Stegostoma tigrinum: one gene and its partner. The protein of the gene in region 1 purifies or fractionates together with the protein of each later gene. This does not show direct contact. Links are inferred from orthologs where the notes say so. Each region holds a gene or a part of one and is shown in the gene's direction. Other genes may lie near its edges. The genes, in order: hdac5 and prkd1.

Evidence for each region.
Region 2: the proteins of hdac5 (region 1) and prkd1 purify together in Homo sapiens (affinity purification with western blotting; 4 studies listed by BioGRID, with this or other methods). This does not show direct contact. The link is inferred for Stegostoma tigrinum from reciprocal best matches to the Homo sapiens genes HDAC5 and PRKD1.

The regions. Positions count from the first base shown.
Region 1 is NC_081384.1:20,060,532-20,075,472, reverse strand, and holds the start of hdac5 (histone deacetylase 5), read left to right. Parts: upstream 1-8,810; 5' UTR 8,811-8,825; coding exon 8,826-8,976; intron 8,977-14,941. UniProt on the Homo sapiens protein: Responsible for the deacetylation of lysine residues on the N-terminal part of the core histones (H2A, H2B, H3 and H4).
Region 2 is NC_081363.1:61,992,045-62,007,970, forward strand, and holds the start of prkd1 (serine/threonine-protein kinase D1), read left to right. Parts: upstream 1-8,126; 5' UTR 8,127-8,415; intron 8,416-8,762; 5' UTR 8,763-8,897; coding exon 8,898-9,089; intron 9,090-15,926.

The DNA.
Region 1 (14,941 bases):
CATGGTTGTGATGGTACTGAATAATGCCTTAGAGATAAATTCAGATTTCACAATGCTAACTGAGGAGTTTAAATTTAATTAATGAATCTGAAACAAAATGCTAATCTCATTTATTATTATGAAAGTGTTGACTCTTGTATAAACTCATCAGGTTCATGAGTTTCATTTAGGGAGGGAAATCAGCCATCCTTACCCAGTCTGGCTTGTGTGAGACTTCAGATGCACAGCAGCTTATTTGAATCTTAATTGCTGTCTGAAGTGGCACGGAAAGCCATTTAATGGTACGTATGTAAAACCAGTACAAATAAAAATATTGTTGGTGTGTGTGTATATATATATGCCAAATGGATTTTACTGGTTCAACAACTACCAGATCACCATTTTTTCCTCAGAATCACAGCATTTTATGATGCAGTAGGAGATCGTTCTGCCCATCATGTCTGCACTAGCTCTCTGAATGAGCATTGTGATTTAGTACCACACTCCTTCCACTTTCCAGTAATCCAGAAAATTGTTTCCATTGAAGTAATCACGTAATGCCTTTGAGTGCCTTCATTAAAGCTGCCTCCACCATATTTCCAGACAGTTAATTACAGACCTTAACTATCTACTGTATAATTAAAAATACTTCGATATCATATTTGCTTCTTTTACAAATTACTTTACACCTGTACCACCTTGTCCTTGATCCTTTCTGAAGGGGCATCAGCTTCTCCTGATCTATCCAGACCGCTCTGGATTCCAAAACTATACACAAGTGTACACTAATATCATACAGGGAGGTAGCAAGAACTGCAAATGCTGGAATCAGTCAGTACAGCCTGAAGCTGGAGGAAAACAGCATGTCAGGCAGCAGATTACAGAATAGGAAGTAGAATTACTGACCCTTTCTCAGCAATCATCTCTTTCTTCTGTGCCTATAAATTCAATACTTAAGGATAAAAATAACAGCCAATTACCTACTGGCTGAGAAAGTTTAAAAACAAATGAAAAAAAACCACCTTGCTCCCATTTCTTCAACTCGCCAGACTCCTAGCATGCCATTCAAATAACATTAGTTTTAGAATAATGAAATGTTAAACATCTGAGCCCCTGTTACTGAAAAAAAACGTTTGAACTGGCTTTTTTTAATTAACTAAATGCAGCTATTCCCCAATAGATCATTTCCATACCCCTGAATTTAAACAAAACTTTCAGTGAAATTTAACAGTTGAATGTTTAATACAAGTAAAGCTAGACCTTAGAAAGAGATCAAGATTATCTTATTAAAGCCCCAACTCTCCATTCAAGCCACGTTGAGTTGCCATTACACCACAGGTAATAGAGAAGTGTGGGATTGTCAATAAATGTTGGTCTTAAATTCCAGAATTTTGACCCATCACCTGTGAAGGAGTAGTGGTGTATTTTCAGGTCAGGATGATGAATGGCTTGGAGGGAATTGCAAATGGTGGTGTTCCCATACATTTGCTGCCCTTGTATTTCAAAATTGTAGTAGTTTAGAACATGCTGTTTGAGGAAGTCTTGGTGAATTTCTGCAGTCATTCCTGCCACCTTAGACTGATGGTGATACGAGCATGAATGAGCTGTTCAGTCCTTTGAGCCTGTTCCACCATTAAATAAGACCATAGCTGATCTGTGACCTATCTCCAAATACTTGCCTTTGATCCATACCCTTAATTCCTTTCACTAACAAACATTTATCTATTTCAGAAAGAAAATGAGCAACTGTTGTAGCACCAACTGCTGTTTCATAGTATCATAGAGTCCCTACAGTTTTGAAGCAGTGCATCTCTCGCTCTATCTCGTTCTCTCCTCTCTCTTCTTTCTTCCTCTTTGCTCCTTCCACCACCACCACCAACCCAGGCTAAGTCTACATCATTCCAGTAAACCCATGTTGTGCCCTCTCCAAGGCCAATATTTATGAGCTGCAGTGTCCATATCTGCTCATAATTGTCCAAGTGGGGCTAACCATGATTTTGTATGGCTGCAGCATATCTTCTACATCTTTATACTCCAATTGTCTCAACATTAAGGCCACAATTTCATTAGTCACCTCGATTATTTTCTGTATCTCTTTGTGGAATTTTAGAGATCTGTGCATGTGAATATCTTGGGACAATCTTTGTACAGCCACTATATTTGCAAATGCAAGGTTTTGAGTCACTCCCCACAGAATTTCTAGCCCCTGACCTGCTCCTGTGGCTATAGTGTTGATTGTGTCCAGCTATGTTTCTGGTCAGTGGTAAACCCCAGTAGATTGTTAGTGAAGAGTTTGGTGATAGGGATGTCATTAAATGTCATGGGTAGTTGGTTGCCTCCTTTTGTTGGAGATTTTTGTTGTACAGATATTGCTGAGTTTGGGCAGGGACTGCTTCAGTATCAGAAGAGCCCCAAATCGTCTTCAGTATTGTTCGGTCGTCAATAACCATCTTCATTTCTGACCTTGTGATTGGAGGAAGGTTATTGATGTAGCTGAAAATGATAAGGCCTAAAGTTAGACCATAAGCCATAAGAGTGGAGGCAAGGCCATTCGGCCCATCGAGCCCATTCTGCCATTTAATCGTGGCTGATGGGCATTTCAACTCCACTACTCTGCACTCTCCCCTTAGCCCTTAATTCCTTGTGAGATCAAGAATTTAACAATATCCGCCTTGAAGGCATTAAACATCCCGGCCTCCTCTGCGCTGCGTGGCAGTGAATTCCACAGGCCCACTACTCCCTGGCTGAAGAAATGTCTCCTCATTTCTGTTCTAAATTTACCCCCTCTAATTCTAAGGCTATGCCCACAGGTCCGAGCCTCCCCGCCTAACGGAAACAACTTCCCAGTGTTCACCCTTTCTAGGCCATATATTATCTTGTAAGTTTCTATTAAATCTCTCCCCTCAACCTTCTAAACTCTAATGAATATAATCCCAGGATCCTTAACCATTCATCGTATGTTAAACCTAGCATTCCAGGGATCATCCGCGTGAATCTCCGCTGGACACGCTCCAGTGCCAGTATGCCCTTCCTGAGGTATGGGGCCCAAAATCTAAATGGGGCCTAACTAGAGATTTATAAAGTCTCAGAAGCACATTACTGCTTTTATATTCCAACCCTCTTGAGATAAACAACAACATTACATTCGTCTTCTTAATCACAGACGCTACCTGCAAGTTAACCGTTAGAGAATCCTGGACCAACACTGCGAGATCCCTTTGTACTTCTGCTTTATGAATTTTCTCACTGTTTAGAAATAGCCCATGCCCGTATTTGTTTTCCTCAAAGTGCAAAACCTTGCATTTGCTCTCGTTGAATTTCATCAGCCATTTCCTGGACCCCACTCCTAAACTGTCTAAATCTTTCTGCAGCCTCCCCACCACCTCAGTACTACCTGCCTGTCCACCTATCTTCGTGTCATTGGCAAACTTCGCCAGAATGCCCCCACTCCCTTCATCCAGATCATAAAGTTACTGCAAAAAAATTCATGCAATACCTTTGCTTCAGGGTGATAGGCTTCCAAATAATGTAGCCATTTTGTGCTGTGCTAACTGTCACTCTGTGCAGTGAAGAGTACCAACCCTTGCCACCACTGCCACAGTTACCACCACCACCACCATCCTCCTGATCCTCCAGCGATGTCAGTTTGTGCAGGGACTCCTTGATATCACATTAGGGCAGATGCTGCCATGCTGATGAAGACAATGACTGTCACCTAACTTCACATTTTCAACGAGATCTTCTGTTTAATCTTTGGATCAAAACTCTTGTGAGGTGAGGCATAAGGTGGTGCAGGAGGAGCTCATACTGAGGTCAGAGAACAAATTATTGCTGAGCAAGTGCCACTTGATAACACTGTTTGCTTGGGTCATCACTTTTTTGATGATCAAAACTAGACTGATGGGACAGTATTTGGCCAGGTTGAATTTTTTGTCTTTGTTTTGTATGCAGGTTGTAATTGTACAATTCTTCACTTTCAGTTTTGGTGCTAGCATTATAGTTGCACTGGAACATTTGGCTAGCTCTGCATCTAGAGGTGCAGTGCAAGTCTTTGTTGTTATAGTAAACATGTTATTAGCCAGCACTTATTGCACCTGGAGTGTGCCAGTTGATCAAATATGCTGGATAATCAAGAGGTCTGCATCACTGCAAGGCTTCAAGACATCAACATCCCTCAAAAAAAATTCATGTTAAAAACATCAACACACTTCCTAAAATCACTGTCAAAATACACAGCAAGTAATAGAAACATAATGCGGTGAGTATATGCATCACTGTTCTACTTTGTTCACACCATCAATACTTGGATGTTGCATTGGATCGCAGTTTTTGATATATATAATTTTATCCGGTTTATCAAGACTGCTGGTTGATAAGGTGCCAGTTAAGCAAAGCTTGCTGTACAACATAAATATTTTCAGAACCTGTTGCTTTTGTAATATCCAGTGCCTTTGATATTTTTTGATGTGTGGAGTGAATTGGTTTGGCTGAGGATTGGCATATGTAATGCTGGGGACATGAGGATGCTGAGATCAGTTATCCCCTCAGCAGATCTGGCCCAAGATGATGGCAAACACTTCAACTTTTCTTTTACACTGATATCCTGGGCTCTCTGTCGTGGAGTTGCTTAGCAGGGCCAAATTTGACCAATTGTTTCACTTTTTTTTAATCAATTCCAGAGAGTGGAAAATTCCACCCTACAAGGGACCTAACCAGAAGCCTTCTGAAAATCCAAATATGCGCATTGACTGGTTTTTCCCTTATCTGTTTTAATAATTACATCCTCAAAAACTCCAGAAGACTAGTTCAGCATGATTTTCTTTATATAAACCAAGGCTGACGTTGTCCAATCCTGTTAAATGTTATTGCATCTTTTATAACAGACTGGAGCATTTTCCCCACTACTTCTGTCGGCTAAGCTGGTCTGTTTTTCTTTCCTTTCCCTTCTTTTTAAATAATGGAGTTACTTTGTCACCTTCCAAGGTGCATGAAATGTCAAAGTCTGTGGAATTTTGAAAGATGACCATCGGTGAATCTAATATTTCCAGTGCCACTTCCTTTAGTCCTCTGAGATGCAGATTATCAGGCCCTGGGTACTTTTCAGTCTTTAACCCCATTAATTTCTCTAGCACCTTTCTTTTTACTAATACTGATTTTCTTCAATTGATCCTTGTTGCTATACCCTTGGCTCCTTAATATTACTGGAAAATTATTTATGACCTTGTCTCTGAAGACAGAACAAAATGTGTTCAGTTTTCTCTATTTCCTTGTTATGCAATTGCATTTCCACATTTTCTGACTGTGAGGGACCTACATTTGACTTTACTAATCTTATTCTCTTGGCATATTTATAGATGCTTTTATTGCCTGTTTTATGTTCCTGTTTGTGCTGTTATCTTGAATGATGCTTGGTACAACATTGTATTTTTACTGGGATGGGATGGTGGAGGTGGGGCCAGGTTTGTAAGAAGAACATGGGGTGCATAGCAAACAATGTAAAACGATGTGGCTAATAAATATTGTGGCAAGAGAAGCAAAATTCATAAAGTTCTTAAAAAGAAGTACAAGGCTGATGAACACCTAATGCTTTCGGGGAGATTGGATAAAGAGGCTCTTGAAGGTTTACAAAGAGTTTCCGCAGAGATTGCTGGCTAGGTTAGCACTTTTGATCTATCCCAATTGCCACTGAAGGTGAAAGAGAGCCACCTTCACCAACATTGCAGTAATATTTGCAGGGAAATCCACAATGCTGTTTGGAAAGGAGTTTCTTCTGTGATCTTGACCAAGCAGTAGTGAAGGAACTGTGATATCATTCCAAACCAATTGGGAAGGAACTTACAGTTGGTGGCATTCCCAACATCATCTGCCCTTGACTTTCTAGGCACTGCAACCTATGGGTTGAATAGGTCCTTTCTGAAGAGCTGTGGTAAATTACTGGAGTGCTTCTTGTTGTTGGTACAGTGTTGCTGCTCTGTGTTGGTGGGAGAAGGATCACACACTGAACATAATGGGTGAGGTGCGAGTGAATGAACTGCTTTGACCTGGGGTGGAGTCAAGCTTTTTGATTTTGTTGGAGGCCGCACATATCTTTTCAATGGATTACTCCTGAGCAGCGCATTAAAAGGCTATTTTCTTTATATTATTAAATATGTTAAATGAGCGGCAAGTACTCTTAAAAATTAATTAATTTTGCCATTGGAAGATTATTTTGTAATAATAGGATTGATTAAACAAATTGTATTGCCATTGTATGGTGATCAACATTTTCAATCTGAAGCAGGTGTGAAACAGTCCCATAGTTAATCTTAGGTACAGCAATGTTTGATTTAACTTGTGGCTATGTCAGACGTTGATTTAGTGACTCTCAAGCAGTTAAATAGAAGCTCCAACAATTCTTGGAATCTTTTTCAATTTTTAAACAACAGGGGACTTCAAACATCACAGCAGTAATGCTTTAGTGCTCACGAAGAGCTTTTTAGTAAACATCACAGGGCATTGTAAAAAGGTGCTAATAACAAGGAGTAAAACTATGTAATTTTCCCTGCAAAATAGGCATTTACTGTAATAATTTGTAGTCCAATGTGGATGTTACACTGACAAAAATGATTGGATCCATGTTATCCACGTGCTGCAAGAAGAACCTTATTACAGTGTTTGTAAAATTCTTCAACAGTACTTTTATGGCATTTTTCTACTTTGGCAATATTCTTGTGCTTTTTTTTATGTTCATCCCAATGCCACCCACTCTAATTAGTAGAATCACTGTAATGTAAGAGAGGTATGAGTGGAGGAGGTGCTCTATAATTTTATGTTGTGCATAGTCTCAGGTGCAATTTAACGGCATTGTACTGAGGAGCTGTAGCTATGTTGTCTGTTATCACTGAGGTTGGGGAATACGCAGATCCGTATCAGCATCCTTGAATGCAGCAACTAGTGCTGTTCTTCACTGTCAACTTCATGTGCTTTTAAAATGGAAAGTAGTTAACTGAAAAGGAGGATCCTTTTAATATATGAAACTTTTATATGATTATAATGGGCTTCTAGGTGATCTCATAACCATTGTGTCATTATACATCCCTGTGTATCTGTTTCCAGAACATGCTGCATACTCTAAAACTGACCAATCCACCAACTGGTCTTTCAATAAGTAGACAGAGAATCAAACTGATGGACACGTTGCTGCATTTGTCGAATTATATTTGGCACTAGTGTCTGTGCAAGCTTTCCTTTTTTATTCCTTTTGGATTTGTACACTTTGCTAATTGTTCACTTCAACTTGCTTACAGAGCTTTAAATGGTCAGAGCTGAACTAGTTGTCATTCCGCTTCACCCTACCTCACTGCACCCCGCCTCCAATTATTGCACATAGTGCATGGTTATTGTTAGAAAAAGAGCAAAAACTTTAATGGCGATATTGTTTATTTTCTTAATTTGTCGTCTTTCTCGGACAAATTAAAATGGGTAAATGCAAGCTGTAGTCACTTTTTTTGAGATGAGCTCGAAAGCAGAACAAAAATAATAATTAAGTTAATATTGGTAAAGTCAAACATTGATATTATTGAAATGAAGTTTTGGAAGGATGACTAATTCACCATAGCTGAATGGTTAACCAAATTGAACATAAGTCAGGAATTTTAAAAGTTGCTCTCATTGAATTAGAAGTATTACTTTTACTTGACTTTTCCTCTTCAGTCACTAAGAGAAAATGTCCACTGCTTTGTGATCAATGCTACACATCAGATTTTTAATTTGTGTTTTCTAATAAAGGTTCTGGCCCAGTAGGGTTGATATAGACTTTAGTTGTCCCCCCAAGAATGTTTGCCTTAGTAAATGTAAATGAGCTAAGCAGGTTATTTACCCTCAGTCCTCTTTCTGAATTTATCCGTCATTACTTTCATGAAAACGATCAAAGAAGTCTACAATCTCTCATCCAGTTTAAACTGTCATGAATGCTTAAAGTTTAAATTTTTAGGAGTGATTTTTATTCTACCCTGTTCAATGTGCAATATGACATTGTTACAAAACCTCTTCACAAATTGAGAGAGTTAAAATAAGGATTATTTCAAAATTGCTGTTTCGATCTGATTATCAATTACTCGTGAACCAACTTTTTAAAAATGTATGACTGAAGGAACTTTTTGAAAGCCTTGAGGTTGCAGTTGGTGTGATTTTTTTTGCTCTCTGTTTCCATACCATCTTTGTTATCTCATTGCACTTATGCTGAATATACAGTAGCATTTAACTACTCTTGGCAGTAACATTCATGGAGTTAAAATGTGCACGAGCTAGGAAATCATATTTTAAAGCAGCTGATTGGTTGCCTATGTTTGTGTGAATGTTCCTTATTCCCAGAGCGTGCATGACCTATTTATAGCCGGCTCCTCCTGTTATTCTATTTTGGTGCACTTCAGGCTGTATTATTGTTGACTTTTATGTAAATGTGTTTGCCTTTAATGCAGTAGGCAGATTGTAGGGTTCCTTACTTTCATTGCGAGTGAGAGGATTAATTTTTTTATTGAACTGTGTCTGTCTGTGTATTAAGGTTGTTTTTTGGTAAAGGACTTTCCCTATCTAACTACAATGTTGCATGTTGTCTCATTAATGCCTTGCTAAAAGGAAGATGACTGAGTATTTGTTGTTGGATTGAAAATCACAACGCTAATTCAGGATGTTTGTTCCACTGCATTTCACCAGGCTTGACTGTGTTAAAAGGAGCTGGAGATTTTTCTACACAGCCTTCAGCAACAGGATTTAAAGGATAAAACAACACTCAACAGCTTAAAAGTTTGTAAAAAGTTGTCTGTAAAAGAAGATTTGAAAACTATTCTGTATTTGATGACTTTGTCATGTTACTGAAGCCCAAAGTGCCTGGACTTAAAAAGATGTTGCAGACTATTTATGAAACTGAATCATGTTTTTCCTCAGATGGTGTATCTGGACAAGAGCAGCCCCTAGAATTGTTGCCACAAAGTCGGATGCACACTATGCCAACATCAGGTAAGCGAAGTAATTCAATTGCTGTTAGTATCCCAGCATCTGCAAATTACTTCAAAGGAACTTAGGTACAGAAGCCTTTTCTATCTCATTGAATTCTTGCGTTATTAAATATGTAACATTTAAAAATATTTAGATGAACAATTTCTTATACTGTTTATGAACGACAGTATTTGAAATAAGGTTGGGTAAGTTAGAATCACAATAATGAATTCATTACTTCATTGCATGCAAATGTGTTTTAGTTTCTTCTTAAAAGATGGATTGTGAAAGATTCATGGATTTTGTCTGTTTTCAGCATTTCAATATTGGTGTGAATTTTAAATAGTTCTAAATATGTGTTTTTGAGCGTGGTTATTTTCAGAATCTGTTTATTCAGCACGTGGTAGTTATCTGTCAGCACTAGATAGCTATGTGATACCATACTTCTTTTTGAGGTATGCCAAAGCTAAGAATATTTAGATATTTTTAGCTGTGGAAACTTAAGCTTCTTAACGTTGCCAACACAGCTTTTAAAACAAACAGTTAATCCAGCTTCCATTATTTTAATTCACTGTAGTCTTGTTTAGCATGTTAAATGGGATGAATTATGTTTTTCAGAGTTAAAATGTGGTGTCAAGGCCCAAGACCAATAAATCTAAACACGATGCAATTTAAAGGCAGGGCTATAATATTCTGTTACTATGTTGATACCTTGCAGTTTGTGCAGCAGCAACACTTATGTCGGTTTACTGATAATGTGTAGTGTCCTCCCATCCCCCATTTTCAGGTAAGGTTGAAAATATCTCATGGAAAAGCTTTACTCTGACTAAATTTGTACATGACAAAGTTCAGAGTGCAGCGTTACCCAGTTTTAGAGAGGAGCAGTGTTTCCAGTTAACACTGTTATTGCTGAAGTCAATTTATTTTTCATTAAAACAAGATCATGAGGGCAATATGAACTAAATCACTTGTGACTTATCTGTACTTCAGTAAACAGGTGGTTAGGTTGGTTTTTAACTGTATGTTGACTGGTTTTCGTTTCATTAGTTTAAAGTGGTGCTTTTGTTACTACTCATTTGGTAATAATAGGCACAGTTTAAAACTGTTGAATGAACAAATAGCATTCTGTTGAAAATTTAAATCAGGAATTTAACTTTTTTTTCAATTGCTAAAACTGAGGGAAATATTAGAGCGACAAACATGAATAAAGCAAGTTAACCATTGCTTTAATTAAGCATGGTCAAAATAGAAATTTTGATTTTATATTAAACAATAGAATATAAACTTTCAAAATATTTTAAATAAAATATCAGTAAAAGAAGTATGTTTCCTAAATATATTTTAAATATTTTTAAATACTTTTTAAATTCAACTGAATATATATGGGAAGTTTCAGTGCAATCCATTTACGTTTCTCAACATGGCAATCGTAGCAATTAACCGAACATTACTGGGGGCATTGCGGCGTGAGTCATCTTTTGTCTTTGTTCATTAACTGTACTAGACGTTCATGTAAACTTCTGCCACTGTCAAGTCTCTTGTATGTTTCATGGAGGCGCAACTTCCTCTTCATCACTAAATCAGATGGCTTTCTTTTCATTGGAAGATAACTAGGAAACTTGAGATAGTCAGTAATTTGGCTGTTTTCTGCACAGCATATTTATTTATTATCATTGTAACTGCAGTTCTTGCCAAGACAGCCTGTACTTATGGTAAAATGTTTGACTTTGAGCAGAATTGTTTCGGAAAAACACAGGTTTTTATAAACTCTTTACCTAGTTTGTAGAAGGTGTGCGTAGTAAATTCTCACACCCTCCAATTCTTCACTTTTTATAATTTAATTTACAGACTGCACTGTTCCTGGTAGATTTTTGCCCTTTAGATCGGTAGAGTATTTGCCATAACTTTACTTGATAATTCTTGCACATGTAAAATCTAATAACATAGTGGCACAATTTTGTAGAAGAAGAAAAAGATTTGAAGTTATAGCTCAAGTTTTTTGCATCATGTCTAAATTCAAAACTCAAGAATATTTAAAAAAAAACGATAGATAAATTCCTTATATCTTGTATGAATGACGTTGCATACCTGTAATAGTTTTAGCCTTTTGTTTACTTATGCTTACATGGGATGTGAGTGTTGTTGACAAGGTCAGCATTTAATGCCTGTCCCTAATTGCTCTTGAACTGATGGGCTTGCTGGACTAATTTCAAAGGATAGTTAACAGTTGACCACATTGCTGTTGTTTTATAGTTCACTTTCTGTTAACATCTATTTGCTGCCATGCCTACGCAATGTAGAGGCTTCCCATGCAATTTTGAGGAGATGACACATAGTGCCAATGTATGGAGATAATAAATGTGTGCAGAAATGTTGTTCAGCAATAACTTGTTCACTAATGCGAGTTTGGGTTCCATAGGAGCCATTCAGCTCCTGTTTTCATTAGTCTAGTTACAACTGTGGACAAATAACCTGAGCTCCAGTGGTGAGATCCTTACTTCAAGCAGGTTGAAGTATAAAAGTAGGAAGTTTTGCTGCAACTGTACAAGGTTCTGGTGAGATCATATCTGGAATACTTTAAGCAGTTTCAGCCCCCCTCATTTAATGAAATATTACTTCATTATAGGCAGTTCAGAGAATGCTCACTAAGATGATCCATGCTGTGCAAGAATTGTCTTACAAGCAAAGATTAAACAGGTTGGGATTCAACTCATTGGATTTTAGAAGAATGAAAGGTGATCTCATTGATACATACAGGATTTTTAAGGGACAAAAACAGAAGTTGCTGGAAAAGCTCAGCAGGTCTGACAGCATCTTTAAAAAGAAATCAGATTTAGTGTTTCGGTTCTGATGACTCTTCCTTAAAACTGATCACCAAACTTGACATGTTAACTTTGATTTCTCTTCATAGGTGTTGTCTGATCTGCTGAGATTTTCCAGCATTTTCTGTATTTCTTCCTGGCTTGCAGTATCTGCAGTTCTTTTGTTTTTTATTTAGGATTCTAAAGTTTGACAACGTAAATGCTGAGAAGATTTTTCCCACAAGGGAGAGAATAGGAGCAGAGAACATTGTCTCGGTATAAAAGGTCACCAATTTAAGACTCTGATGAGGATAACTTTCTTTGAGTGTGTGTCTTTGGCTCTTGTTGACACAGTGACTTGTGGGAACAGAGTGCTTGTGTATATTCAAGGCAGGGTAAGGACAGGAAAGTGGGCATGAGGAGTAGTGGATTTGATTGACCCAATTGCATGACAGAGCAGGCTTGAGGGGCCAGTGGCCCACTCCTGTTCTTCTTTCTTATGATATTATTTGCCTTAGGCGAAATTGACTATATTTGACAGCAAGACAGCATTTGACATATATAGCATTAAGGAACCGCAATAAGATTGCAATCCAGGGAAAATTCTATGCTGCTTGGAGTCGTATCTAGCACAAAGGATGTTGAAATAAAATGAAAGAGAAACAGAGTTAACTTTTTGAATCCACATAACACTTTTACAGAATTGAAGGAGTCTGTGAACTTTATGGGTTAAGTTGCAGGGAGAGCAAGTGGGCTAGATGATAACGGTACCCGATTGCAAAAAAAAATGTTCGTGATAGTTGAGGAAAGCTATGGATGAAGGTTATCTAACAGTGGTATGTGTTAATAGCAGACAATAAGTCAGCTTGATTGAAGCCAACACATTTCAGTAAGACACTCATGGAAGGAGAATCAAAATAAACAACAAAATGTTCATAGCCTGTGGTTGTTGAATTCACCGTTGAGTCCTGAAGGGTTTATGTGCCTAAGTGGAAAATGAAGTGGTGTTCCTCCAACTTTGCTGGAACATTTTAACAGGCTTAGATCAGAAATGTTAACCTGAGAACAAGATGGTATATTGAAATGGTAAGCAACTGGTAGGTCAGGATCATTATTTTAAATAGAATGGAGATGTTTTGCAAACTGGGCTGAATTTGTGCTTGCCAATCTGGAAAGGAATGTGTTGTCAGTAGTGAATATAGTAGAACATATTGGAAAAAGTGAAAATAACTCACTGCTTCATACAGAAGGTGTGTTTGAACTTTGGACAGTGAAAATGGATGAGATTAAAGGGCAAGTGAGGCACTTTCTGCACAGGAATGTGCCATTGACAGATGCATGAAGAGATGTTGATAGTGACAGGAAGCGTATCAAGTTGTCATTGGAGGGAATAATTTCTGTGGAGGACTGACAGGGTTTGGAGTGATGATGTGTTTGGTGACATCCTGCTGGAGGTGACAAAAATGGCAAAGTGTGTTTCTTTTGAATGAGGAAGCTTTTGGGGTGAAAATGAGAGCCCTGTAGCTTTTCAGGAAGACACCAGAAGAAGTAGGTACAGAAGTACAGGATCTAGGTCAGCCATGAATGAGGGCTCCATCAGCCATTGTAGAAAGGAATACACAATTGAGGGAAAAGGAAGACATGACAGTAGCACTCCTGTTGAAGGTGTCATCATAATGGATGTGACCGAAATGGAGAAACTAAGAGAATAGAATGGAATCTTTAAGGGAAGCAAGGTAAGGAAATGTGGTCAGGTAATTGTAGGAGTTGGTGAGTTTCTGTTGTACATTAATGGCCAGCCTATCTCTTGAAATGGGGTCTGAAAAGTCAAGGAAAGTAAGGAAGAATCAAAAATGGGCAAAGTGAAAGTAAGAAAAGGATGGAAATTAGAAGAATGTTTCCAATTCCATACAATGCAGGAAACAAATGCAATTATTGATGTATGGGCAAAAGAGTTGCGGGAGGGGCCTCTAAGTAGGACTGAATGAAGTAATGTTTCACATGCCCTTCTGAGAGTCTGACTTAACAGACAGTTGCAGGTACCCATAGCCATATCTATTATTTAAAGAAAGAGATGAGATAACGGAGAAATGGTTTAAAGTGAGAACACACTCAACCGAGTGGAGGACAGTATTGATGGAGTCTTCTTAGGAAGAAGTGGAGAGCCATCAGACCATCCTCTTAGAGGATCAAGATGTAGAGGGATTATAATATAAATGTTTTATCTAGGAGAGCATGTCAAAAGCTAGAAATTCATCAGTACGTAACTCATCTCCTGATTTCCCAGCACTGGCTCAGTAGTTAGCACTGCTGCCTCATAGGACCAGGAACTCTGGTTCGATTCTGCCCTTGGGTGACCATCAGAGTGGAGTTTGTACATTCTCCATGTGTCTGTGTGGGTTTCCACCAGGTGCTCCGGTTTCCTCCCACAGTCCAAAGATGTGCAGGTTAGGTGGATTGGCCATACTGAATTGCCCACATTATTCAGGGGTGTGTGGATTGGGTGGGTTATGGGGGATGGGTCTGGGTGGGCTGCTGTAATGGTTGGTGTGGAGGCGGTAGGTTGAAGGGCCTGTTTCCACACTGTAGGGATTCAATGATTTTCTATGATCTGTGATTTTGCAAGGCACTGGTGAGGAGTACTATGGAACATCCTTCACTTGCAAAGAGGGGTGCAACTCTGACAGTACTAAAGAGGTTTCTCACCGTCCAGGACAAAGCAGTAGGCTGGGTTTACAATCCGCCCACGTCCTTCCTCCTTCATTGATGCAGGCAGCAGTGTGCCAACTGCAGTAACTTACCAGGTACCTCTGAGAGCACCTTGCAAGCATGCAAGCACCATGCAGATGCATGGGAACATCGCCACCAACAAATTCCCATCTGAGTGTCGCCATCCTGATTTGGAATTGTATTCCTATTTCTCAACTGTTGCTAGATGAAGTCTTGGAGCTACTTCCCTAACAATATTTGTGGATGCACCTGCACCCAAAGATGTCCAGTAGTTGAAAAATGCAACTCAGCACCACCCCCTCAAGGGCCATTAAGGATGATCAATAAATGCTGGCTTATCCCATCAATGATTTTTTGAAAAAAATCATTTTGTTATCAGTAAATTTGCTGATGTAATGTTTACATGAAATTGCAGCAAACAGATTTTAAAATGAGCTGACCAGTTTCACCTCTGA
Region 2 (15,926 bases), on another chromosome or scaffold:
ACTGACCAATAAAGACAAGCATACCAAACACTTTCTTCTCTATCCTGTCTAACTGTGACTCCATTTCAGGAAACTATGAACATACACTTTTTTTAACAAAACTTTTTAGGCCCTTGCCAATAAGTGTATAAGTCCTGTTCTGATTTGCCTTTTCAAAATGCAGCACGTCACATTTATCTAAATTAAACTCCAACTGTCAATCCTTGGCTCATTGGCCTGTCTGATCAAAATCCCACTGTCGTCTCGGATAACTTTATTTGCTATCCACTACACCACCAATTTTGGTGTCATCTGCAAACTTACTCACCATACTTCTTATGTTCACATCCAAATCGTTTGTATAAATGATGAAAAGCAGTGGATTCAACACTAATCTTTGTAGCACACCACTGGTAATAGGTCTCCAGTTAGAAAAGCAACCCTCCACCACCACCCTCAGTCTTCTACCTTTGAGCCAGTTCTGTATCTATATGGCTACTTGTCCCTGTATTCCATGTGATCTAATCTTGCTAACTAGTCTACCATGAGGCACCTTGTTGAATGCCTTACTAAGACCGTAGAGATCACGTCCACTGCTCTGTCCTCATCAAATCTCTTCATTACTTCTTCAAAAAACTCAATCAAGTTAGTGAGATGCGATTACCCATGCACAAAGCCATGTTGCCTATCCCTAATCAGTCCTTACCTTTCCAAATGCATGTAAATCCTGTCCCTCAGGATTCCCTTCAACAACTTGCCCACCACCAATGTCATACTCACCCCTTTATAATTCCCTAACTTTTCTTTACCACCTTTCTTAAATAGTGGTACCACATTAGCCAGCCCCCAGTCTTCTGGCACCTCACCTATGGCCATCAATGATACAAGTACGTCCGCAAGGGGCCCAGCAATCACTTCCCTAGCTTCCTACAGAATTCGAGGGTACACCTGATCAGGTCCCAGGGATTTATTCACCTTTGTGTTTTAAGCTGTCTAGCACCTCCTCCTCTGTAATATAGATGTTTTTCAATATGTCGCTATCTATTTCCCCACATTCTATATCTTCTATATACTTCTCCACAGTAAACACTGATGCAAAATATTCATTTAATATCTCCACCCACTCCTGCGCTTCCATACACGGGTGGTTTTTAAGGACCTTATTCTCTCCCTAGTTACCCATTTTCCTTAATTTGTTTATTAAATCCTTTTTAAATTCCTGCCTAGCTTCCTACATTCTGTCCTCAGAATCTCATCCTTTTCACTTCCAATATCATTAGTTTCAAAGTGTACAACAACCTCCTGCTGGCCCCTCTCCCCTTTAAGAATTTTCTGAACCTCCTCAGAGATATCCTTCATCCTGGCACCGGGAAGGCAATACATCATTCTGATGTCGCAAAGTCAGCCGCAGAAATGTATGTCTGTGTCTCTGCCTCGAGAGACCTGAAGCACAATAAAAACCAAAGGAAATGCAGATGCTGTCAATCAGGAACAAAAACAGAAGTTGCTGGAAATGTTCACCAGGTCTGGCAGCATCTGTGGAGAGAAATCAGAGTTAGCATTTCGGGTCTGATGAACCTTCCTCAGTTGTGCTCCAATACGTTAACTCTGATTTTTTTCTTCACTGATGCTGTCAGACCTGCTGAGCTTTTCCTGAAACACAATCGATTGCTTGGTACCTGGCATGCCCCTTGTTACATTAGAGCCAGTCTCAGTATTAGAAACTTGGCTGTCAGTGCTACATTCCCCTGAGAGTCCATCTCCCACTACATTTTCTAAAACAGCATACATGTTTGATATGGGGATAGCCCATCTCCTGGAGACTTCTGCACTACCTGCCTCCCTCTCCTACCTTTCCCGGAGGTAACCCATCTATCTGACTGTATCTGTGGTTTTTCTCCCTTCCTGCAACTACCATCCATCACACCCCCTAGCTTTAGTAAATTCCTCAATGCCTCTAACTGCTGCTCCAACTGATCTATGTCAGCGGATCAGATTCGCAATCAAACATACTTCCTGCTGACATAATCATCAGTAACATGGAAATTCCCCCTGATCTATGTTCAACTCTGTGAGCTTTAGGACAGGGCATTAACTGAAGAGTTGAAATTGAAAATGACATTGCACAGTCAAATCAATGCCACACACAGACTCACACCACATTCTCGATGCTTACAGCTCACAAGGCGGGACGCTGCCTACCCGTAGTGGTAAAACAGGAAGTTGTCAGTCAGTTGGCAGAATGGCATCAGGAAAAGTGCTCTCCTTTCACTGACCAGTAGTTAGCCCACAATTGGGCTTCACATTCAGCACAGTAGTGGTGGGTTGATGCCCTTCACTCGGCATTAATTTTCACTATTGGCCTCAATTAGGCCATGAGCAGACGGCCTGACCAACGTTTCCCGTATTTACATATAAAATCGTGTCAGCAGACAGTCTGCCAGTGGCATTGTGCCCTGATTTACACATCTATCCACCTGCTTTAGCACCTGGGGGAGGCACATACAATTCAGTCTTAGGAATCATTAAAGGCCAACATTGCATTCACTTTTAAGCTATTTTCTTTATTTAACTTCCAGTGATTTGTACACCTGTGCAGTTCCAAGTCTTTCACCATGCAGAAGATACTTTTGATTTATCCATTTTAGATTCACAGTTAATGACCTTGCACTCCTCTTTTTGAATTAATTATTTGCAACATGTGCATTAGTTGCCCTTTCCTAACTAAAGGCTGAGTCTTAACTTTTTTTTGCTAAGTGTAAATTGTTTCGTATCCAGCATTTTGGAGAGTTTTATGCCATAAGGCCTAGCAAGTTTTCTTGTAGCATCTTACCAGATTTACCCCATTAGCTATGTAGAACAAACAGAGAATGCTGGGGAAACTCAGCAAGTTTGGAAGTGTCTATGGAAAGAGAAACAGAGTTAATGTTTCGAGTCTGTTATGACTCTTCTTCAGAGCTTCAGACCTCCTATGTTGGGCATTGAGCAGCAACAGTTTTGCATATGGTCCATAGGCACCAGCCACACACAACCCGCATCTACAGATGTTGGCATTCATGGCAAATCATCAATCCAATTATATCTGTAGACGTGGGTTGCGTGTGGCTGTTGCCCATGGATCATACCCAAAAATGTTGGTGCTCAGTGCCCGACATGGGAGATCTGAAGTCCTGAAGAAGGGTACACCTTTGCATTTCAATGCTGTACCTCAATCTGCATTGATAACCATCATTGATTGTAATGAAGCAGCAAAGACATTACACACTTAGAGACATGCCCTAAGCTCATGGGCTGACCAGGCTGGGCTCTTTGCTTCCTGTCACAATGTTCACTTAATCAGCCCACCTGCATGTTTTGCCTTTGCCCTTTTAGCCACAGACACCAGGCTCAAAGTAAAGCTGTAATGCCATGCTGATTAATACAAAGCTTGTCATGTTTGTCAATAGGCCTCAGTCAAGTCAAGAAAAATAGGTTTTGATCAGGGGTTTATGGCACAGGAAGTCAAGGGCAGCCTCCAAAAGCAGTGCTGCTAGCAAATGGTGAAATAACCAACGCCAGCGACAGACCTACTTAAATAGGATTACATAGAATACGTGGCACAGATTAGTCCTTTGGCTCAACCAATCCATGTCAGTATTAATGTTCCAGTCAAGCTTCCTCCAATCTTTCTTCATCCAGATCGATCTTTGCAAACCTTATTCTCTTCTTGCATATGTTTTCTGAATTAATCTATGCTATGTGCTTCAACCATTCCCTGTAGAAGAGATGTCCACGTTCTAATCATGCATTGGATTAACAAGTCGCTTTGCTTTCTAGCTGGCTATATTTTATTGATGGTCACTAATTATGCTCTTCCCTACAAGAGAAAACATTCTCTCTTCTTCCACTGAATCAAAACTTTTCAAAATCTCATTAAGGTCATCCCTCAGGCTTCATTTTTCAAAAGAAATACAGTCTGAACATCCATTCCACAGTTGTGCGTTCATACATTTCTGCCACCGTTCTTAAAAATCTTCTCAGTACCCACTTCAGTGCCTCTACATCATTTTTATAACAGTGATCAGCACTGCATTCAGTGTTCTAAGTATGATCTAACCTAGCTTTGATATATACGACAATTTCCTTACTTTCGTGTTCTGTTCCTGTTGAAATAAAGCCTGGTGTGTGGTTTGCTGTTTCATTACTTCCCTACTTTCTTGACTTTTGAGTTCTGTTCTTGTTGAAATAAAGCCTAGGGTGTGGTTTGTTGTTTCATTACTTTCCTAACCTGTGGCCCATTAGCAATTTGGTATATTATATTCTGAGATCCCTTTTATTTCCTTTACCCCAGCTACACTCACACCTTCCAAATAAAAAGAGTCCTTCCCTATTCCACCTACAAAAATGTTTAGTTCACATTTATTTGTGTTGAAGAGAATTTATCATTCATTATTGACCATTTTGTTTGTTTATAAATTTCTTTTTGCATTTTGCTGTATTCCTCCTCAGTGCTAACAGTACTGACACCCACCAACACCCTCACCACCACCAATTTGGTGTCACCTGTGAATTTAGAATTTGAGTTTTGTTTCAAATTCTAATTATTCAATTCAAATCATAAAGAGTATCGATCCCACCACTGGTCATTGTGGAACACTATTCCTATCATGGGCCATTCTTATCAACTACTGTTACAACCAAATCTCGAATGAGCTTCCCCAGTTATTTTAGTTACAGATGGGATGCTGAACTTGTTGAGCTCTCGGTTGAGACACAATGAGTTGATTCCACTTCCTTATTCACCTGACCCCTCACAACAAGATTAATTTACAAAGGATTCCCTCCCTGTGGGTATTTTCCTCCCAGGTCAAATGAATTTCTGTTTTAAAAGGAGTCAATTAGACCAGGCTTCCTGAGTCAGCAATAAGGAGAGCTGATTACTTAGGAACACAAGAAGAATTAACAACACAACACACATACACAAAGGTTCGAAAGGAGAAATGAATCCAAAAATTTAAAGTATATACAGATCAGAATCTGTGTTATTTGTGAAATGTAAATAGTGGAATGTTATTGTTGATTTTGAGATTCATTGAGATCCATTTGCCCTGTTTCCTTTTGACTCTGGTTGGCTATCAATACTTGAAACACAAGAATCATCTCTTTGTACCAGAGATAATAGGAACTTCAGATGCTGGAGAATCCGAGACAACAAGTTGTGGAGCTGGATGAAAACAGTAGGCCAAGCAGCATCTTAGGAGCAGGAAAGCTGATGTTTTGGGATCAAGGGTCTAGGCCCGAAATGTCAGCTTTTCTGCTCCTAAGATGCTGCTTGGCCTTCTGTGTTCATCCAGCTCTACACTTTGTTAATCGTCTCTTTGTATTGTTTCCTTTCAGCTGGATAGCTGGATTCCATCACTCAGTCTGAGAAAAAACTTTACCCGAAAGAGCACTGGTATACTAGTCTACTCGTGGCTTCTATCATCAGGGCCAATATGCACTGGTCAAAAAGGAACTGCTTAAGCATTTTAAATTCTGGTTTCATCTGGTCAGGTCATTTCCCAAGGGTACGGAAATTTGAAGGTACACCTCTGGCCCTAACTGGTACATTTGTAAGAGAGCCTTTTATTAAAAACTCCGTGGCAATGAATAATCAGTGGCACTTACCCCAGGCAAGAGGGAGCAAACCTTTATGATCAGTGAACTATGATGCAGGTTTCGATAGTCAAGGTATTCAAGTCTTAATGGTGCCACATTGTCAGAGTCAACTGGAGACTGAAGTTCCGAAAAAAGGTTTTAACTGAATGCTCTCTGCTTTTCTGAAAGCACACACCCTGTTTGGGGTTTAATTCCATGAACAAAGCAGCTCTCTGGTATCTTTCCAAATCTCAATTCTTTTCAGATGTAAGTTGAGACAAAAAGTTCAGAAGTTTGTTCTGCTGCACAAGCTGTCACACTGAATCTGTCCTCATCTTAACATCTAGAGATGCACTGTCTAGATTCAGGTGACTATCAGGTCCAAAGAGTCTGATTACCTTCTGAGCAGGCTCAGTGCTGAGGCCAATATCAGCACTCCAACTGAAATCCGGGTTAATATTAGTAAATTTCACACAGATGGAGAACGGAGGTTTCTTCTAAAGAAATGCAGAGGATGCTGGAAATCTGACATAAAAGCAGAAAGTCATGGAGAAACTCAACATGTCTTTCAGGAGTATGAAGAGGTCAAACCAGACTCAAAACTTGGTTTCTCTCTCCACAGATGCTAACAGACCTGTTGAATTTCTCCAGCAATTTCTGTGTTTTTTCAAACCGGATTTGTTTTGTTTTGGTTAGAACACAAAGCAGCCCTGACTAATGGGATCTGAACCAGAGGTCAGAAAACATCTATGTAATGTGAAAAATGTTTTCAGTCTAGATAGTGACACATTGCAGAGCAGGAGTGTAATTGATAGACTACTTTTCTATCTATCTCAAACCATTTTAAATGAAAAAGATTTAGAACACACTCATGTCAGATTTAGAAAATAACCCACAATTTAAGGTTAGGAGTAGAAACTATAGAGGAGATGTGAGGACAAACTTTTTCACCTGGAGGGTGGTGGCAATTTGAAACTCTCTGCCGGTAAGAATGGCAGAGGTCGGAACCCTCATAACAGTTAAGTATTTAGTCGCACACTTGTGATGCCAAAGTATATAAGGCTATGGTCCAAGTGCTGGAAAACAGGATTAAAAGAGTTTGGTAGTTGTTGTTTGACTGTTGCAGACTGGGGCAGAAGGGCTTTTTTTTGGTGTCGTCGATCTCGCTGACACCATCTGTAATGTTGAGTATCTTACTGCACGACTGTGGTCCCTTGCGCTCGGAATTCATAAAGGTGATATGTTGGGGTCCTCAGCACAAGACCCATTAAAAGAACGGAATAAAGTGGGGAAGCTGCTGACACCAGATGTGTTTTCTGTATAATACAGGATCACTGCTGTCAGTCAAACATACAATGAAATAACATTAATATTCCTGTATGGCAACCTCTCAGCATTTTGGTAATACATAGAGATTTCTCTCAACTGAATATTTAGGAAGTTTTAAACATCAAACATCCCGCCGCGAGGTGACTAATTGTTATTTTCAGTCTGGTATAAAGGGCAGTCTATATTTTGTTGGCTTTATTTTAAATCATTTGAACATTAAGGTAAGGACATTTATTTCAATGCTTTTGTTTAAATTGAGAATAGCAAACTCCAAACTCCTGCACGTTTAAAAAAAATAACGTTGTTGAAAGTTTCTTTTGGCAATATCGGGGGATCAACTCCTGAACCAACCGCAAACCGGGAATACGAGTTCCTTCAGAAATTTTCTTCAGATACTGGAGTGAAGTGGGAGTCATTCGGATGCAGGTGATGGGAGTCTTTCTGTTGGGCTACAGAAGACAGGGCAACGGGACACGGGTCCCTAATCCTAAAGGAAAAATTCAGTGCGTGGGTCACCCCTAGTCACAGACACTCGGCCACAGGAACACAGACGCCAACATCCGACGCAGACACGCACAGATAGGCTCCCCTACTCCAATTCACCCTCACACAAGCAGACACCAAATACACAGAAATGCACACAGTCTCACTGACACACACATATAGGCAGGCACACACCGACAGACACATCGATTCAAATACACGTTCACACCCCTTTCCAATCCCACAGACTGCTCTGACAAAAATATAAACTTGTTTTTGCAATTACACACCGCAATCTGAAAATATCTTTTCTTTAAAAAATTCAACTATACCTTATTAATAAAATAGTATATTTATGTACATAGTCACTAAAGCAGTTCGGCTCTGTACAGTAGCATATGAAGAAACAAACAAACATCGGAGTTTGACTCTATCCAGCAAACAAATCCAGGCATCTGTTACTCGTAAATAGTTATTGCAGGAAAGTGGACTGCTCAGTTTCCAGACCATAGCTGAAACTTAGTTTGCAAAGCTCTGCTGTGTGCAGTTACTGCTCCAGTATGGGGACTGTCTTGTGTCTTAAAACAATCTTTTCGAAGTATTTCTAAGAACAGTAATTAAGATAACATTTGTTCTAAGTGAAAGTGGAAGGGGTGGAACTGCGTTTGACATTCGCTTCAGAGTGACAGCTTGACGGAAAACGTTATAGAAATGTTGATTATAGCCTCACACTACCCGCAGCCCCCACTGCCAGCCCTGCCCCCTGAATTTGCAATGCTAATATCGGCAAACTGGAAAGGCCATCATTAAGAGGGGGAGCGCCTGCTGTTACCCAGTGTCGTCCTTGGCCAGGGCAGGCTTCTGACACGGGTCTTCCAGGTGGCAGGGTCTCCCAGAGGAGAGAAGTGCACTGCTCTGGTGCCGGTGAGGGGAGGGAAGGAGGTTGAAGAATCGGAGATACGGAGCAGAGCACAGCGGACCGAGTTCGTGTGACAAGAGTGAAACCAGGTACGGGGGACATAGAGACACAGTTCAAGAGGGAGAGATAGTGGTGCGGACACGCCGGCTGCGATAGAGACAAACACACACAACAAACGAACAGAAAGTGAGGCAGAGATGGACAGAGGGAACAGATGTACAGAGTTCAGTGGAGAGAGAGAAAGTAAATAAGGGGACAGGGTCCAAATCCGTCCTACTGGCAGTGCCTGGAGGAGGGCAGGGGGTAGCAGCACGGCTCTAGGGACCGGGTCTGGGGGCAGCAGCGGGGGTTGGGGGGGTAATCGGGGGTGTGGGGAGATTTGTCCAGCTTTGGACTCAGCTGCTTTCTTACAGCCGCTTCCTGTTTGCTTCTTTAGCCAAAGCAGCAACAACCCTTCTCCCCCCCTCCCACCTCTGTCGCCATCTTCCGCCTTGCTGACTGTAGCCAGGAGAGTGTGGGACGTGAAGTTCCGAGAGAGAGAGGGAGGGAGTGGAGCTCCGTGCTGCTGCTGATGAATCCGGTCCCGGTGATCCGCTCGGGTAGCCCCTGCTCCCCTTCATCCCCGGGAGCAGAGCGGCTCAGCCCCCACGGTATCCCGTTCCACATCCAGATCGGCCTGAGCAGGGAGCCCGTCATCCTGGACTGCAGTCACTTCTCCCTCGCACATGTCCGCGAAATGGCCTGCTCCATCGTGGACCAGAAGGTAACCCGAGTGTAAAGTTGGCGCGGTCAGCGGGGACACAGGGGCAGGGGGCGAGACACAACGAGAGAGGTCTAAAGATAGACCAGGTGGGGGCAGAGGGGGGTGAGGGAGAGGTGGTGGTCAGACAGAGAGGGAGAGGGGGTTCAGTGAGCGGGGGAAGGTGTTCAGGGGGGTCAGAGAGAGGGGGAGGGGGGTCAGAGAGATTGGTGTTAAAAAGCGCGGAGTTCAGAGAGGAAGGTCAGAGAGAGGGGAAGGAGGGTCAGAGAGAGGGGAAGGAGGGTCAGAGAGAGGGGGAGGAGCATCAGAGAGAGGTAGGGGTGTTAGAGAGAGGAGCTCAGAGAGAGGGGTCAGGAGCCAGACGGGGATGGGGTCAGACAGGGAATGAGGGGGTTTTCGAGAGAGAGGATCAGAAAGAGGGACAGAGTAGGTCAGAGAGGGAGAGAGAACGGGGCGAGAGAAGGGGGTCAGAGAGGGAGCAGAGAGTTGGTGAGGCTGGTAGGGAGGTCTGGAAGAGTGGCAGGAAGAGATAAAAGGGGTGGGGGGGGGGAGATATGCAGAAAGGTAGAGATGGGATGGGGGAGCTGCTGGAGAGGGAGAGAGAGTTGAGGGAGAGCCAGAGAGAGGGGCTGAGGAGAGGGACAGAGTCAAGGGGTTGGGAGAGATGGAAACAGTCATTCAGAGAGAGAAAAAAAACAAGACAGACAGAGTGACGGAACGAGACAGAAACAAAGAAAAATAAGGATAGTGAGAGCGAAAAAGACTTGAACTTTTAAGAAATCGAAAGGAAACATTGTTATGTCAGCGGTCGCGATGTGCAGCGATGTGCAATGGGGTTTTCTGGTGTTGGAGGTTTGGAAATACCACTCTGTCCTGACTTGAGAGATGGAGGCCCCCAGCCCAGGTTGTTTCCATGATGAACCCCTTCCCCCAGCCTTCCCACTCTGAATCTCAACCTTGTCTGCATTCTGACCTCCCCTTCCCCCGCTTCCAAACTAATGCCCCCTTCCCTCTCCGGTATACTCCTTCTCTGGCAGCAGAAAATAGTTTTATCATTCAGAATGAACTGTGCAGGCGGCACAGCTCGTGGTAACTTAAGAGACTTGAACCTCTCGATTCTAGTTTATTTTGGCCGGGCGGTTGGCTGAGTTTTGACAATTGTTTTGGGCTTCCAAAGTGAAGCCGAATAAGACCACTGGGAAAATCTGGATAATGTACCAGGTTTTAGCAAATTGCTGTCTGTGAAACTGTTCTTTGTCATTGTGAGACTGTGATAAACGACATCCACAAATATTGTTACTCCCGTCTGTTAGGGTAGACACTAAGGAGACTGATTTCTGACTACTGTAAATTGATGGATAACCTGCTTTCATGTCAACAAAGTTTAATTTTTAAATAAATATATATTTTAAAACTTGGATTTCCCACAAGAACTGTTTTTGTTTCCACGTTTTGGCAGTTTGATTTCTTATCCAAAACAAACACAAACGAAGTTGGTGCATAAAATTTTGTTTCAATGGTCGAGTATGTTGCCTGGCAACAATCAAATTGTCAGAAATTTTGACTTAAAACAATTGGGAGGTGTTTTGCTTGTCAGAGTGCAAGTGAACAGATGGCCGTGGTCTGCGGTCTGTAGATTTGGATTTAAAACGTTTACAAGGTGGAAAGGCATGTTGTGCCGATAACCGTGGAAGTTACATCCTGGGAATAAAAACAAAACAAACTGTTGCTTTCAGTTATATTTTACAAGCAACACCGACAAGAAAATTGCGGCTAAAATTAATTCTGAGAATTAAAAAAAAGAAATAGCCATAGAGTTATACAACACAGAAACGACAGACCAGTTACGTCCAACTCGTCTGGTCCCATTTGCTACCATTTGGCCCATATTCCTCCAAACGTCTTCTATTCAGGTATCCATCCAGATGCTTTTTAAATCTTGTAATTTTACCCACCTCTACCAGCTCCTTTGTCAGCTCCTTCCATACAGGCATCGGTCTCTGCATGAAAATGTTGCCCCTCAATGTCCTTTTTTTTATCATTCCGCTGTCACTTTAAACCTATGCCCTCTACTTCTGAACTCCCGTACGCTGGGAAAAGACCCAATTCACCCTATCCATGCCCTCATGGTCTTATAAACCTCTATGAGGTCACCCCTCAGCCTCTGACGGTCCAGGGAATATAGCCCCAGCCGGCTTCAGCTTCTTCCTATAGCTAAAAGCCTTCAATCCCGGCATAATCTTGTAAATTTTTTCAGAACACTTTCAGGTTTAACAACATCTTTCCAATAACAAGGAGACCAGAACTGAATGCAGTGTTCTGAAAGTGACCTAATCAATGTCTCGTACAGCCACAACATGAGATCCTAACTGCTATACTCAGTGCACTGATAAACAAAGGCAAGCACGCCAAATGCCATCTTCACAATCCTGACTACCTGCAACTCCACTTTCAATGAACTATATACCTGCACCCCTAGGTCCCTTCATTTGACAACACTCCGCAGGACCCTGCCATTAAGGGTATATGTCCTGCCCTGATTTGCCTTACCAAAATGCAACACCTCACATTTATCTAAATTAAACCCCATGTGCCATTCCTTGGGCCATTGGACCATCACGGTTCCCGTTTACTCTGAGATAACCTTTTTCATTGTCCAATATACCACCTATTTTGGTGTCATCTGCAAACTTACCAATCATTCCTCCTATACTCACGTCCAAGTCATTAATATAAATGTTGGAAAGCAGTGGACCCAGTACCATCCTTACGGCACACCACTGGTCATAGGCCTCCAGTCCAAAAAATGACCCACCACCGCCATTCTCCGTTTCCTACCTTTAATCCAATTTTGCATCTAAATGGCTAGCTTTCCCAGATTCCATGTGATCTAACTTTGCTAACCAGCCGACCATGCAGAATCTTGTCAAACACCGTGCTGAAGTCCATATAAACAATGCTTACGGCTGTGCCTAGATCATTCTGTGTCACATCTTCAAGAGACTAAATCAAGTTAGTGAGACACAATTTCCCACACTCAAAGCCATGTTGCCTCTACCTAATCAGCCCCTTCCTTTCCAAATGCATGTGAGTCCTGTCCATCCAAATCCCTGTGACAGCTTGCCCAACACAGACGTCAGGCTCACTGGTTTGTTGTCCCCTGGCTTTTCCTTGCCACCTTTCTTAAATAATCATACTATATTAGCCAACCTCCAATCTTCTGGCGCCTTGCCTGTGTGGCTATTGATGATACAAATATCTCAGCAAGGGGCCCAGCAATCTTTTCCCTAGCTTCGGACAAAGTTCTGGGATACACCTGATTAGGTCCTGAGGATTTAACCACCTATATAGATTTTAAGATGTCCAGCACTTCCTCTCTGTCATAGGGGCATTTTTCAAGATACTGCTAGTTATTTCCCAAGTTCTCTCGCTTCCATATCCTTTTCCACAGTAAATATTGACTTGAAACACTCATTTAGCATTTGACCCATCTCCTGTGGTTCCGCATATAGACGTCCTTATTCATCTTTAAGGGGCCTTATTCGCTTCCCAGTAACTCTTTTTCTCTTCATGTATTTGTGGAATCTTGTTGAATTCTCCTTAACCGAAGCTATATTATGTCCCCTTTTTGCCCTCCTGATTTCCCTCTTAAGTACATTCCTGCTGCCCTTATACTTCACTAGGGATTCACTCGATCCCAGCTATCCAGGCCTGACATATGCCTCCTTTTTCTTGATCAGAGTCTCAATTTCTCTAGTCATCAGCATTCCCCCCACCTAGCAGCTTTGCCCTTCACATTAACAGGGACATACTGTCCCTGAACTCTTGTTATGAGCAAAACTTAAAATCTAGTGATGTGGGAGGGAAACAGTGAGGCACACACTACCAATGAACGTCATATACTGTCCTTCTCATGTATGCTTCATATACATGTTCAAATGGATACCATATACAATAGTGCATGTGTAAATATACGTATATACTGTCTGTGTTAGCGTTTGGGTCACCGGACCCAAAACGTTAACTTTGATTTTTTTCTTCACAGATGCTGCCAAACCTGCTGAGCTTCCAGCAACTTCTGTTTTTGTTCCTAATTTACAGCATTCACAGTTCGTTCAGATTTTACAAATTGTCTGTCATTGGCTATGTTGAAATTGGAAAGAATTTTCACCCAAAACTTTATTTATTATTAAAACACCAGATGGATTAAGAGTGCCAAGTATCTGATTTTTTTCTATTATTACTGGACCCTGAATGATTAGAAATGTGAAGTAACTTACCCATTGTTGATATAATAAGGTGTTTATTTATTAGCGATCATATTGATAAATGATTGAAATAATAATGAACTTCCATCAGCCTTTTGTTATATTATTGCATGTTTCTAATCAAGTCACCAGATAATTGTCAATTTTAAAAATAAGATACTTATCATTTGGGATAACCAGGTGTACAGCTGGATGAACACAGCAGGCCCAGCAGCATCATAGGAGCAGGAAGTGCTGCTTGGCCTGCTGTGTTCACCCATCTCTACACCTTGTTATTTTGGATTCTCCAGGATCTGCAGTTCCTGTTATCTTTGATACTTATCATTTGGTTAGGTTAGTATTTATGATTTGTTTAATGAACAACAAAACAGGTCAAGGAAGATATTAGTAGTAGGCACTACATAGAAATTACTCTTGTGCTGAGCTCATGACAAATGTACCATGTTAACACAGAGAAATCTCTAAACTGAGATGATGTGGCAATACAGTCACTTTATTGCTTTTATTTCCACTTTATTAACTGATGAATGTTATAAGAATATTTTTAAAGCCTTTGTGAAGATTTTTTTGAGAAGTTTGTAGCTCGGATTGTGGTTGAGCTTGTAGACATGCTCGCCGAGCCGGTGGGTTTGGTTGCAAACATTTCGCCATCCTGCTAGGCAACCTCATCAGACCGCCTCCTGTGAAGCGTTGGTGTTCTGTCCCGCTCGTTAGTTATATTCCTCGGTTTTCTGGGGTGATTGGTACAATTACTGATTTTGTTTCTCGGTGTTTTGTGCACAGTGTCTAATTCAATGTGTTTATTGATGGAGTTCCGGTTGGAATACCAGGCTTCCAGGAATTTCTTGGCGTATCTCTGTGTGGCTTGTGCGATTATCGATGTGTTATCCCAATCGAAATCATGTCCCTCGTTGTCAGTATGTAGTGAGACAAGTGAGATTTAGTCATATCTCTTAGTGACTAGTTGGTGTTCATGTGTCCATATTGTCAATTTTCTTTCGATTTGACCTATGTAGTTTTTCTCAGTTCTTGCATGGTATTTTGTATATTACCCCAGTTTTGCTGGTTTTGGGTATTGTATCCTTTATGTTCATCAGTAGCTGTTGTAGTGTGGTTGTCGATTTGTGGACTACTTTAAAATCTAGGAGTCTGAGTAGTCCTATGGTCATCTCTGAAATGTCTTTGATGAACGATAAGGTGATTAGTGAGTCTAGTCATGTTGTGTCTTCCTGTTGTAATATATCTCTCTTAGGTAACAGTGGATTGTGCTTTGCGGGTATCCATTTCTTTTGAAGACTCTGTATAAGTGTTCCTGTTCTGCTTTGTGTAGTTCCAGGTTGCTGCAATGTGTTGCGACTCATTTAAATAGTGTCTTAATGCAGCTCAGTTTGTGGGTGTTGGAGTGGTTGCTAGTGTAATTTAGTATTTGGTCCGTATGTGTCGTCTCTCTATTTACGCTAATCTGGAGTTCCCCGCAGTTTTGTGTTCCACTATTTAGGCCAGGAAGCGTGTCGGTTGTTTTTCTCATTGCCTTTTCTGAATTTTATCCCAGTAAGGATGTTGTTTATGTGTCGGTGGGTTCCTTCCAGTTTCGTACGTTTAATAATCACAAAGGTGTCATCTACATATCAGACCCAAAGTTTGTGTTTTATAGTGAAAAGTGCTGTCTGTTCAAACCTTTGCATTACTGCTTACAGTCCTGATACTGAGGATCCCATTGGTGTGCCATTGATTTGTTTGTATACGCTGACGTTGAAGGTAAAAGTGGGTTGTGAAGCATAAATTATAAACATCGACTCAGCCAAAGTAACAATTGTCATAATGTTCGACGAATCAAGTAACAGGCAACCCATGACACCAACAACATCAGGAAGGATGCCACCATGAAATGTACTAAACTGGAAGGAATCCACTGACACATGAACAACATCCTTACTAGGATAAAATCCACGAAAGAGTATGAGAAAAGCTACTGACTACCTGCCTTGGACATAATGGCAGAACGTAAAAACGACGGGGAACTCCAGACTATTGTATAAAGAAAGACCACACATATGGACCAGATACTTGATTACACTAGCAAACCACTCCAACACCCACAAACTGAGCTGCATCAGGACACTATCTGAATGAGCCACAACACATTGCAGCAACCCAGAACTACTCAAAGCAGAACAGGAACATTTATATGGAGTCTTCAAAAGAAACGGATACCTGAAAAGCACAATCCACTGTTACCTCCGAGACAGACCACAACAGGAAGACATAACACGACCAGAATCACTTATCACTCTACCATGCATCAAGGACATTTCTGACATGACTCACAGAACTACTCAGACCCCTAGGTAACAGAGTAGTCCACAAACCGACAACCACCCAATGACAGCTAATGACGAACATACAAGACGCCATACCCAAAACTGGGGTAATATACAAAATCCCATGCAAGGACTGTGAGAAAAACTACATAGGCCAAACCAGAAGAAAATTGACAAGACAGATACATGAACATCATCTAGCCACCAAGAGACATGACCAATTCTCACTTGTCTCACTACACACGGACAAT